2 linked regions of the Arabidopsis thaliana genome follow. The protein of the gene in region 1 interacts with the protein of each later gene in a pairwise test. Each region holds a gene or a part of one and is shown on either strand. Other genes may lie near its edges.

The links. Proteins that work in one complex are often made in the same cells at the same time.
Region 2: the proteins of SAG29 (region 1) and AT4G38690 interact in a protein complementation assay, tested with the Arabidopsis thaliana proteins (one large-scale study listed by BioGRID).

The regions. Positions count from the first base shown.
Region 1 is NC_003076.8:4,180,171-4,186,045, forward strand, and holds SAG29 (senescence-associated gene 29), read right to left. Parts: upstream 3,185-5,875; 5' UTR 3,002-3,184; coding exon 2,950-3,001; intron 2,375-2,949; coding exon 2,338-2,374; intron 2,245-2,337; coding exon 2,034-2,244; intron 1,950-2,033; coding exon 1,785-1,949; intron 1,691-1,784; coding exon 1,571-1,690; intron 1,455-1,570; coding exon 1,161-1,454; 3' UTR 872-1,160; downstream 1-871.
Region 2 is NC_003075.7:18,073,113-18,078,614, reverse strand, and holds AT4G38690 (PLC-like phosphodiesterases superfamily protein), read left to right. Parts: upstream 1-2,657; 5' UTR 2,658-2,915; coding exon 2,916-3,872; 3' UTR 3,873-4,295; downstream 4,296-5,502. Other genes in the region: AT4G38710 (glycine-rich protein), read left to right, coding at 30-68, 264-474; AT4G38700 (Disease resistance-responsive (dirigent-like protein) family protein), read left to right, coding at 1,460-2,032.

The DNA.
Region 1 (5,875 bases):
TTTACTATTGACAGTGTACTGTGTAGTCTATTGAAATGGATGTCGAAACTTCCCGTATGTTTTAGTTTTGGTGAATATCATTTCTTGGCCTCTAAATACTCGGAGAATCTATTCTTTACTAGATAGTCCTAAATTTTAGAATTTTTTAAGTAAGAGGAAAAATTATTAACTAAAAACCTCTGTCTTTTTTTCCATCAAGAGACATACTAATTTTATAAATTACATAGCGTATCCTACACTGGCATGCGTAATTTGTCAAAATTCGCTATAATATATATGATTCTTTGTCGGATTTTGTCGTTACGGTTTAAAATGTAAGTTAGTTAACAAGTATATATATTTCATATTATTATTTCTTACGAGTTATTTATAGTTATATTAAAATATTTTGGGGTAATATAATCATAGGATGGTTATAATATTTGTAGATAACTAAGTAATCTTGTATATTTTGTTACGAATAAGCAAATAATATAGTGATTGTCACTTGGAAGTGTGAGATATGCTTGCAATACATTTTCATCAGACCATTGGGACGTCTTGACAATTTTTTATTCGTTTCCAAAACTGGACGGTGATGATTTTTTGTACACTTGAAAATTAGACTCTACAAAGAAAAACACAATTCGTTTAAAAAAGAATATAATCTGCTTTGGTTGTATATACTTGATGGGGACAGTTTAGATCACAAACTTATGTACATACTTTTTCTTCTGACTCATGAGTTTTATATATTTGTTAATTCTCAAAATCGTTAAACAGTATGTCGTCAATGGCACAAGACCATTCGTTATCTAACTGACGGCGACATCTTTAAGACAAATGTAATCAATCATAAAAAAAAAGGGTGGTCAACAAGCTTATTAGTTTTAACAAAAAAAAAGCTTATTAGTAGGAGTAATTAAGCTATTGAGGTTTATTATATCAAATTTTCCAAAGAGCACTAGTTACAACTTACACAAAGATAATATATTCAAATAAACACAAAACTTTATGCAAGTAGTACATCATCAATAAGATACGAAACAAAAATGGAAATTTAACAAACCACCCCGCCGATAATACAATTTCTTCCTTTGGCCGGCCCTGACGAGCCGAGAGAAAGAGAGTGAAAGAGAGAGAGAGAGAGAGCAATATTTTGAGCTTCACATATTGACACTTCAAACGGTTTCAGGACGAGTAGCCTCCACGTAGCACTTGCCGTTTTCAATTGACGGCTCCTCCACTTTAGTAACTTTGGACAGATCCTCATGATGAACGGCTTCAGAGAGTGGGTCCACCGATTCCGTCACAACTGGGTGCACTTCCGACACACCTAACGGACTCATCACGACAATACTCTTAAGTTGTTGTTCTGACGAATTAATCTTCTCTGGTTTCTCATTTGAGTTCCTGTAAACCAAGTACAAAACCATTTGCAACAGCCCTAGTACGAATCCCACCACGTTTGGAATCTACAAAATATCATCAAAGCCATACAAAATAGGTCAGTTATAACCTTTTTACCGAATATTTAAAAAATTTAGCAAACGGTAAAAATAAATAATAATATAGATGCTTAATTGCTTACCGCTATGCATATGTCATTGAGGAATAAACCATAAGCGAACCACATAACGGCGCTTATAGTGAGGAAGAAAGAAAGCGTGAAGGGCATGTACTCCACACTCTTTGTCTTTATCACACGAGCCTATTCACATCAAGAATTTATATTTAACATTTTATTTCAAAATATAATGTTCTAGAAATAAATTTACAAATTAAATTAAATAACGCTAGCTTACCACGATCATTAGAGGGGCAGCGAAAACAGAAACAGAAATGGCAACACAAATCCAGCCGAGTACAGAGACTTGGAGGGGAGGAGTTTTAACCACGAAATGTGTTACCATTAGAATCAACGAGAAGAAGGCAACGTTCATTGCTATGAACAACTTCATAGCCGATATCTGCCAAAAACGCATATTATTCATTTAATATTCGTATTTAATTACATAGCGGAATTAAGGAGGAGGAGAGGGGAATAATTTTACCCTTTTCTCCCTGGTGGCGTAAGCGAAGAACATGGCTATGTAGAGAGTCTCCACGACGCAGCCAAAGGAGTTGATGGTAATTAGGAGAAAAGCGTCTTTCTTAATCAATGCGTAGTAGAGCCATAGCATGCAGCTAAATAGCGACACTTGGTACGGTAGCGACTGGAAACTTTCCGTCGATTTTCTCTTGTATATTCTATAAAAAGTTGGCCTGAATATTTTGAAAAACGAAATCATCAGAATCATTCTCAAAACTAACAAATAAATAAAATGAAATAAAAAAAAGTAAATTGAATCTACTTACACTGGAGCGAGGAATACAAGGAAGGATATCACGTTTCCTGTAATTCCATGTAAAAATAAAAAAATGAGTCAATTGTATAATTAAGAGGCTTCTAGTTTTGTGGAAACATAAGTACATATGAATCAGTACGGGTTCTCTAACCAACCTCAGCGGGGAATTAAATTGTGCATTAACCACTATACACGTATTGAGTATGATATAACATGGACAACAATGCGTGACGATTTCAATTTAATTAATAGCTTACGTATTGATTTATTTTTTGGTAGTTTGGGATTTAACTAAAGAATTAGAAGATCATTTATAATCCCAAATGACTTAGTTTAGTTAATGAAGAAAAAACTTGAAACTTGTTAGGTGAGTCATGATGAACACTACAGAATTTCAATTCATTTCTTAGTACTCTGTTGTTTAATTAACTCTAAGCTAGAACTACAATGGAACCCTACACATAGTATATATTGTTTTGAAAACAGAAGCTTAGATGTAAAGTTGCAACATTATAGTTGCTGTTGCAAATTCCTTTTGTTAACAAGTAAAAAACATAAGAATAACAGTAAAGACAAGAGATGATGAACAAACTAGGATTTGGCTTTGTGGATTTATCATTACCTAAGATGCCGAAGATAAAAGCGAGGAAATGGTGATTGATCATGACTCCCATTTTCTATAGCAATTGAGAAAACTTTCCTGTTAGGAGATTTCTAAAGGGTCTCTTTTTTTTTTTTTTTGAAACCCTAAAGCTTTCTCTCTCTTTCTCTATATGTCTCTCTCTAGAAGATGCTTCTTTTTATTTCATGGAGGAAACTGAGGAGGCTCAGGTGGTTTATATATAGCTCCAAAATAACCATTGTAGTCAAAATATTTTGATTTTAATGTTTAGAGTTTATTAGAAGCGTGTAACGTGTTGAGTAGAATAAAAAACAAAAAAATAAGACTCGAAAAGGAAAACGAACTCAGTCTGGTTGCATGACAAGTGGAGATATTAGTAGGTAGCGTTTGCATTTTATCATTCACTCAATCTTACTTCTTTCCTCCACTACTCTCATCTCGTACGCGCGTCGTCTATTACGATTTCATTTTCTTCACGCCTTCTTTTTAATTAGCTTTCATAAATCACATTTAGTACCACAGTTTTGTACTTTATAGACGATAGATAAATATCATGGTGACCAAAAGTCTACCCAACATCAACCTATATAGAGGAAATCATCACTAGATTACATTACGATTTGTACATTTTCTTTAGGCTTTATCGCCCTCTCTTTATTTTTAATCTACATATATATGAACTGGAATCCAAAATATCCCACGTATCTATTCAATGTACATAATAATTATAGACACTGTTTTCAAAAATGTAGGATAATTAATTTCATTGACTATATTTTCAAGTATGATTACAATGAATTTAATTGTTTTGTCTGTATTCTCGTTACACAAATATATACTATGACTTAAATGAGAGGGGTGGGACTGGTTTCATCTATATTGGTTTTTGTAAAGGAGTCTAGGTGAGAATGATTAAAGATCTAACATAGCTAGAAATATACGTGTGATGGCTAGATTAAACCAACACATTTATAGGTAGCACAAAAAAGTACCAGTAAAGATATTTCTTTGCAGAAAATTGACGCCGTTCTCTATATAATTATTGGCATTTGCAATGATTAACCAAAGTAGGAATGAAACCATTCACATCTCCTGGTCCAGTTTCTCATTTCTCTCTAACTCTTGTCTAGAGGTACACGTTTTTTTTTTTCCTTGTACAAAAAGAAAACGTTAACAATCATGCATGTTTTGAGCAAAAACTCCACGCGTCGAAACGGAGCGTCGCGCGTGAGAATAAATTAAGGTAAATTAAACGAAAAAAATGATGCGTTACGAGAGAGAGTCGTGATTAATAATACGATAATAATAGCATGAAAACGAAAAATTTGTGCAAATCACGTGACCTCTCCAAACGCTTCCACTTATAGCCGTTTCTTTAGAGTTTGTAGAGACACACACACACGAGAGCTATGCCACGTCATCAGATGCTGACTAGGCAACACCCTCTCTTTGGTTTCGTGTCTTTAGAGTATTTTCTGTTTCTTGCTCTTCGTCTCCTGTTTTAATCCCTATTTTCAGGATTTCTTATATTAGTATATTAAATAACAATTAGTCCTTTTTGTTGATTCCAGTTATATATAATTTTCTAAAATGTTTATAAACTTTTTCTCGTTAATTTTTTGAAATAAGGATGCATGTATAATGATCTAGTTATGCAGTAATATGCATATTATTCAGAGATTGGTTGAATATTACATTTTCTTTTGTTACGTTTGTTTCTATAGTTATGAGGAAAGGAATCTGAATATTTTGGAGAAAAGGTTGAGAAAATTACGAAACAATTCTCCATTTTTCGAGGGTAAGTTAAAACAGATATTAAAAGTGGGAAGAAATGGACAAAAGAGGAGTGACGTGGTAGGCTAATGATAACAATGATCATGGGTTTGTTAAATCCTTCTTGTTCTTATTCGTGAGTATTTGTTTCTCTCTCTCCCTCTTTCTTTTATTTGGTCCATAATAATTTAAAATATGAGAGGTGCCACTTTTGTGGTTCTCCTCCACCTTAATTTCCCCATCTCTAATTACTATTGAAGCAACTTTGGTTTCTCTTAAAAATTTTGATTGATTGGTGCCTAATATAGTTTTGGTTCATCGTACGATCCATACGGTGTATGCAAATTTGCAATCACATTCCCCTGACTTCTTTATATTATTTACTATAAATATATCCATGGACATTTATAGTAATATGTATACAGTAGTCATGAACAATAGATATTCATAATTCACTAGCAATATTGCATCACATCACAATTTCTCGTTTATATTTTGACATTTCTCATCGAATAAAATTTCTGTAACCCATATATGAAATGTTTTTTCGTTTTTAATGGATGATGCTTTAAATGAATTATGTGGAAAATCAACCCAAATACAACAAACATCGGCTGATCAAACCCCAATAATATAGGCATCTAGGTGACCCACATTGATATATGATGGATGCATATAAATTTGTGTATGTTGCTACCACATAAAGGAAAAATGACAATCATGTGGGTGAAATTAAACCTCCCCCGATCCTATCGTTTTCTGATTTCAATCGGTTATACGAATCTAGCTTTACACACACATACATTTATCTAGCTATGCTACATATAGCTTTCAATGATAGATACCTATCTATGATTTGTTAGCGAATTAATTAATGTTTACCAAATAAATACTACTATGTCATTATGATCGGTCTATTGAATCTATATTAGCCAGAATACCATAAATTGTGTATGTATTAAACCATGTTGTTCAAAATAATTACTCAAATAAATTTCTTTTCAATCATACATATTTATAAGAATTATTACAGCGTTGTGATAATTAAAATAAATGTAATGGGATGGTTGATATCATCACCTTATTCACATATGGCCAAAGTGCTAAACTATTTTTCTGACAGAAATATACTACGTGTATCACTTCTAGAGAA
Region 2 (5,502 bases), on another chromosome or scaffold:
AGTTAATATGTTAAATTTGGTGTTATTAGTTTTTCTCTACATTCATACATGGAAGTTGATGTCTTGAAGTGAAGCTGAAAGATTGGATCTCTCTTTCTGTTTTGTTTTTTTGATCTGGCATCCCATGTTTAGAGAGCTCTGTTTTTCTCTTTCTGCGTGATGGTAATGGGTTTTTTAGTTAGTGTTGTTGAGTATTGTGGGAAGTTGTAAATTTTGTAAGCATGTTTCTTACTCTTAAATTATTTTGTCTTTGAACATTGAAGCACGGAGCATTCTGAGGAGGATGCTCAAGAGGAGGAACCAGCTGTAGAAGGGGCAAAGAAGGAAGAGACTGAGGACAAACCGGCTGTAGAAGAGGCTAAGAAGGAAGAAACTGAGGGTGAACAGGCTGTAGAAGAGGCTAAGAAGGAAGAGACTGGTGGCGAACCGGCTGTAGAAGAGGCAAAGAAGGAAGAGACGGAGGACAAAATCTAAAGAGTCAAAAGGCATTTTTGTGGATTGTGATAGTTTGGGTTCTTGAAGTTTAGCTTCTGAGAATTTGTGTTGTTTAATTTGGATAAGTTAAGTTGTGTGGGGGAACTCTAGAGAAAATTTTGGTAGGGTCTTTTTTTTTATAATATCTCTCTGTCTCTTTTTTTTACCACATACTCTGTTGCAATTTTTAGGGTTTTGGGGTGTCTTTTATTTTTTACGAGTTGTACAATTTCATTATTGGTTTAAATCTGTCTTTGAATTTGGGAGCGTTTAGTTGATCAGTGATCAATGGTGCGTAGAGAGAGTGATGTTTGTTATTAAGAGCCCAATTGGCCCAACTTAACCCGACCCAGTATCAGATCTGGCCCGTATTCTATAATCTTCTTGATCGGTGCAGTCCACTTAAGATATATGTGGTGAGGAATAAATCCAACCTGTACAAACACACAGAATGTAGTGGGACGGGGAATATGATAATACCACGCGCTTTAGAGCTGGGAATATATTAAAATTGATCAAAAATAGGCATTTTGGCTGGACTATATAGCTTACCCATTTTGATAACACGCGCTCAACGCTCCTAAGGTGCGCGTGGTACATATCCTTACCTCGAATAAAGTTTATGCTAGTTATTTGGCAGAATCTCAAAGCTTTTTAGAATCATAATTTTCTAAAATAATTAAATCTCTTTACATGTTTTCAAAGTTGTCAAACACTATTACAATTTTGAACATATCATCAATATCAGACAGAAAATTTTCAAAGTTAATACCTGGATCATATGCATTTACTATTTTCTTTTTGTTATATAGAAAAATATCAAATAGATTTTCTAAATAATGACATATACCCTCTTTTTATAGGAGAAAATCTTTTTCCTGTAAACATTCCTAAAATTACAAGTGATCAAACTATATATATATATATATGTTCTAGATTCATTTGGATAGTAAACTTTCATATCAATTCCTTAAGTTTATAAATTATGAAGAGCACATTAATAATATTTTTCACACTCTGTTTGAGCATGGCCGTTATGGCGCGTCACGAATCCTACTATGGCAACACCAAACCGGCTAAACTGAATGAGGAGAAAGTGACACGTGTCAGATTTTATCTCCATGATACTCTCAGTGGCCAAAATCCTACCGCCGTTAGAATCGCACATGCAAATCTAACCGGTGGCTCAGCTTCGCCGGTAGGTTTTGGAAGCCTGTTTGTGATAGACGATCCGCTCACCGTCGGGCCGGAGAAACACTCGAAAGAGATCGGGAATGGTCAAGGGATGTATGTCTCCGGGTGCAAAGACTTGAGCAAATTCACGATCGTCATGTACGCTGATTTGGCTTTCACGGCAGGGAAGTTTAATGGAAGCTCGATCAGTATCTTCTCGAGGAATCCGGTGGCGGAAGAGGTCGGAGAGCGAGAAATCGCGATTGTTGGTGGCCGTGGGAAATTCAGAATGGCGAGAGGTTTTGTCAAAGTAAAAACAAATAAGATTGACATGAAGACTGGTGATGCTGTTCTCCGATATGATGCTACTGTTTATCATTATTAACCGATTCATATGTTCCGATTAAAACAATAAAAAGGCCAACTAAATCAATTATTCAGATCAAAACTGAATTTTGCATGATCAAGAGATCAAAATTGATTAATTATGTTGCAATCTTTCTTCTCAATTCCCAAAATCTATACTAGTAATCTCTTTTACATATCTTAGTTGTGTGGATCGTGATATTTGAGATAGTCTTACAAAAGACATGATAGGGCCTGTGAGTGTATATGATTGGTTTTCCATCGGATCCTATCCGAATTTTATCCAAAATATTAATTATCGATGCCTTGTTTAAATTTTAGGAACGACTTTTATTTCATAGAAAATTTGAATATGTGTCTTCCAAGAAATAAAAATCACGTTGTATTGATATCTTTCACGTCGGAAAATAGCCAGGCATTAGAAATTGACAAATAACAAACAGTGAAGACAGCTATACAACAAAAATGGACCTACCATACATTGTAAACCCACTCTCCCATCAATTACAACTCAACCACTCTTTCAATATATCTCAACTAATCAATCAGTTCACATTTATAACACTAAAATGTTCCCACAATAAAAATTGTAACAGTTAATCTTACATATTAAACGCTACTACTTTTTTTCTATGGTTTTTGTTAAGTTAAAAGTTGAAAGTTACTTCTAATTTGCGAATATGTCAACGGTGTTTTGAGAAAGTAGCGTAATTATTAAAAGATTAACGTATAATTCGTAACTTCTTCAAACCAATAATAAGTAAATAAAAAACAATCATAACGACTTATGAGTAAAGGTTTATTGATAAAGAAGGCATGGAACATTTTATAAACAAGAGAGAACAGAATTCAATATAGTGATCAGAGAAGAGAGAGCAAAGGGAAAGGGTTAATCCTCAGCAATGGGCTCTCACCTTTCCAAACAACTCGAGCGGCGAAAAGCCATCTCCACGGAGAAGAAAGCCCTCACCGATCTCGAGAAATCGTGCGGCTGCGAGTTTCCGGGGTGTGATTACATGCCTTCCGATCGTAAAAACTGGATGGCCGGCGTTGGACCTGAAAAGCTTCACATCAACAAGATCGTCTGGCCTGGGACGCACGACTCTGCCACCAACAAAATCGGTATCCGATTCGTGTCTCGTCCCTTTGCTAAGTGCCAATCTCTCTCCATCTATAACCAGCTCGTGGCGGGTACTCGAGTCCTTGACATTCGTGTCCAAGAAGATCGCCGTGTATGCCACGGTATCCTCAAGACTTATAGTGTCGACGTTGTCTTGGCCGATCTCAAACGGTTTCTATCCGAAACAGAGTCGGAGATTGTCATTCTTGAGATCAGAACAGAGTTTGGACACGAAGACCCACCGGAGTTTGATAAGTATCTTGTGGAACAGCTTGGAGAGCATCTGATTCACCAGGACGATCACGTGTTCTCCAAGACAGTCGCTGAGCTGCTTCCCAAGAGAGTGATCTGCGTTTGGAAACCGAGGAAATCGCCTCAGCCTAAGCATGGTGATCCTCTTTGGAGCGCTGGTTACCTTAAAGACAATTGGATCGATACAGATCTTCCATCGACCAAATTCGAGAGCAACATCAAGCATTTGAGCCAGCAGCAACCAGCTACTTCAAGGAAATTCTTTTACCGGGTGGAGAACACAGTGACGCCGCAGCCCGATAACCCAATAATGTGTGTAAAACCGGTGACTAAGAGGATACATTGCTACGCCAAGGTATTCATCATAGAGTGTGTAAAAAGAGGATGTGCTGATAAACTGCAGATATTCTCAACTGATTTCATAGATAATGAATTTGTTGATGCTTGCGTTGGGCTCACCTTTGCGAGAGCTGAAGGTAAGGCCTGAGGAATGAGCGTGTGGAGACAGACTTTGTGTATCTATTTTGAAGGAAAAGAATCAGAACATGGTTGATGTGTTTTAGGGTTGCTTGTGTATAAGAGAACATGTGAGTGTGTATTTGTATGTGTGTGTGATTTACGAGTGTATATTCCAATTCATTACAACTTATTTGAATCCTGATACAATTGCGAGATATCCAAACTCTTCATTACTATTAATTTCTGATACTTTTGCAGATGTTGTAGTTGATAGACAGGCAAAACAGAAGGAAGAAGTATACAGTTGATGGTAAAATCTAGTTTTAACAAGTGAAAGAGAGCTGCTAACCTGAGAGATGACTATATTTCTGCAGCAATGCCCCTTTTTATTACACACTACTGTGATCTTCAAGAACAAAAAGATAATAGAATCAGTTATGCTAGAATTCATATCAGTAGCTAATGACACAATGCATCTCTATAATTTCATTATTTGATTATATCTATAAACTGAGATGATGGAAACATGGTGCAAAATCCTAATAATTTGAGATTAGATTTCTTCTCAAGACTTGAAACACAAAAGAAGAAGAAGAAGAGCATTTGATCCACAAGAGTGATTGAGCCGAGCCAAATTATTCTCCCTGCTGAGATCGGCAGCGAGACCACTCTTCTAGACTCTAGACATGGGATGCAGAGAAACCAACTTTTTTTATTTAAACGGCTGCGTTTTAAGTCATGTTCTCAAATGATACCAGTTTTTTTTTTTTTTTTTTTTTTGCTAAGCACAAGTTTGATTTGTTGTTTGGCACTTTACGATAACATCATTTTACTCCTATACTTTCTCACGGTAAGTGATTAAGATAAAAACATGCACATTTTTCGAATTATAAGCTAAATTTAAAGGGATCTATTTTCTATCTCTCAATAATTTTTAAATTTTACTCATTTTCTATTTCTCTTATAAATTAATTACTTGGTAATTTAGTTTTGTAATCGATACTCAAAAATCGATATCCAACAAAGGACAATCTCTTTGCGGTCAATAGTCTTCTCAAATTACTTCATACAATTATCATACTGTTTGGTAAAATTTGTGAATCTGCCTCATAAAATGTACGTGGAAAGTGGAACAACAGTTAATGCTTATTTTGACCACAAGATTGAGAAAATTTTGAAAAGAGTATATTGACCAGTTGCTGACGTTGCATGTCATTCTTTAATGTTGTTGTTGACTGCAACAAAAAATAAAATACAACATACAAAGTAAAAAAATAAAAATAAATTAATTGATCTTTGTTTCTCTATTCCCCAGAGAGCTAGCTTTTCAGATCTAAAATCAGAATCTGACGGCTGATATCCCTCGTGAAAAACACCCCAACCGTCCAGATGCAACTGCTTGCTGGGCCAATGATCCATTCTCTTTCCCGAAATGGATTAATCAATTTAAGCCTTATCACATGCTGGCCCATTTTCTAACTCCTCTTTTCTTTTTTAACTTACTTTTCTTTCTTTTAATATTTTAGTTGCAGATTCATTTTCGAAATCAACGAAATTTATGTTTTTTTAATTTTCTGGGTATCTTAATCGCGAGATTTTTTATTTTAATATCACGCTCGAATATACAATTCGGAATGTGCAGATGTTTTTTTTGAAGG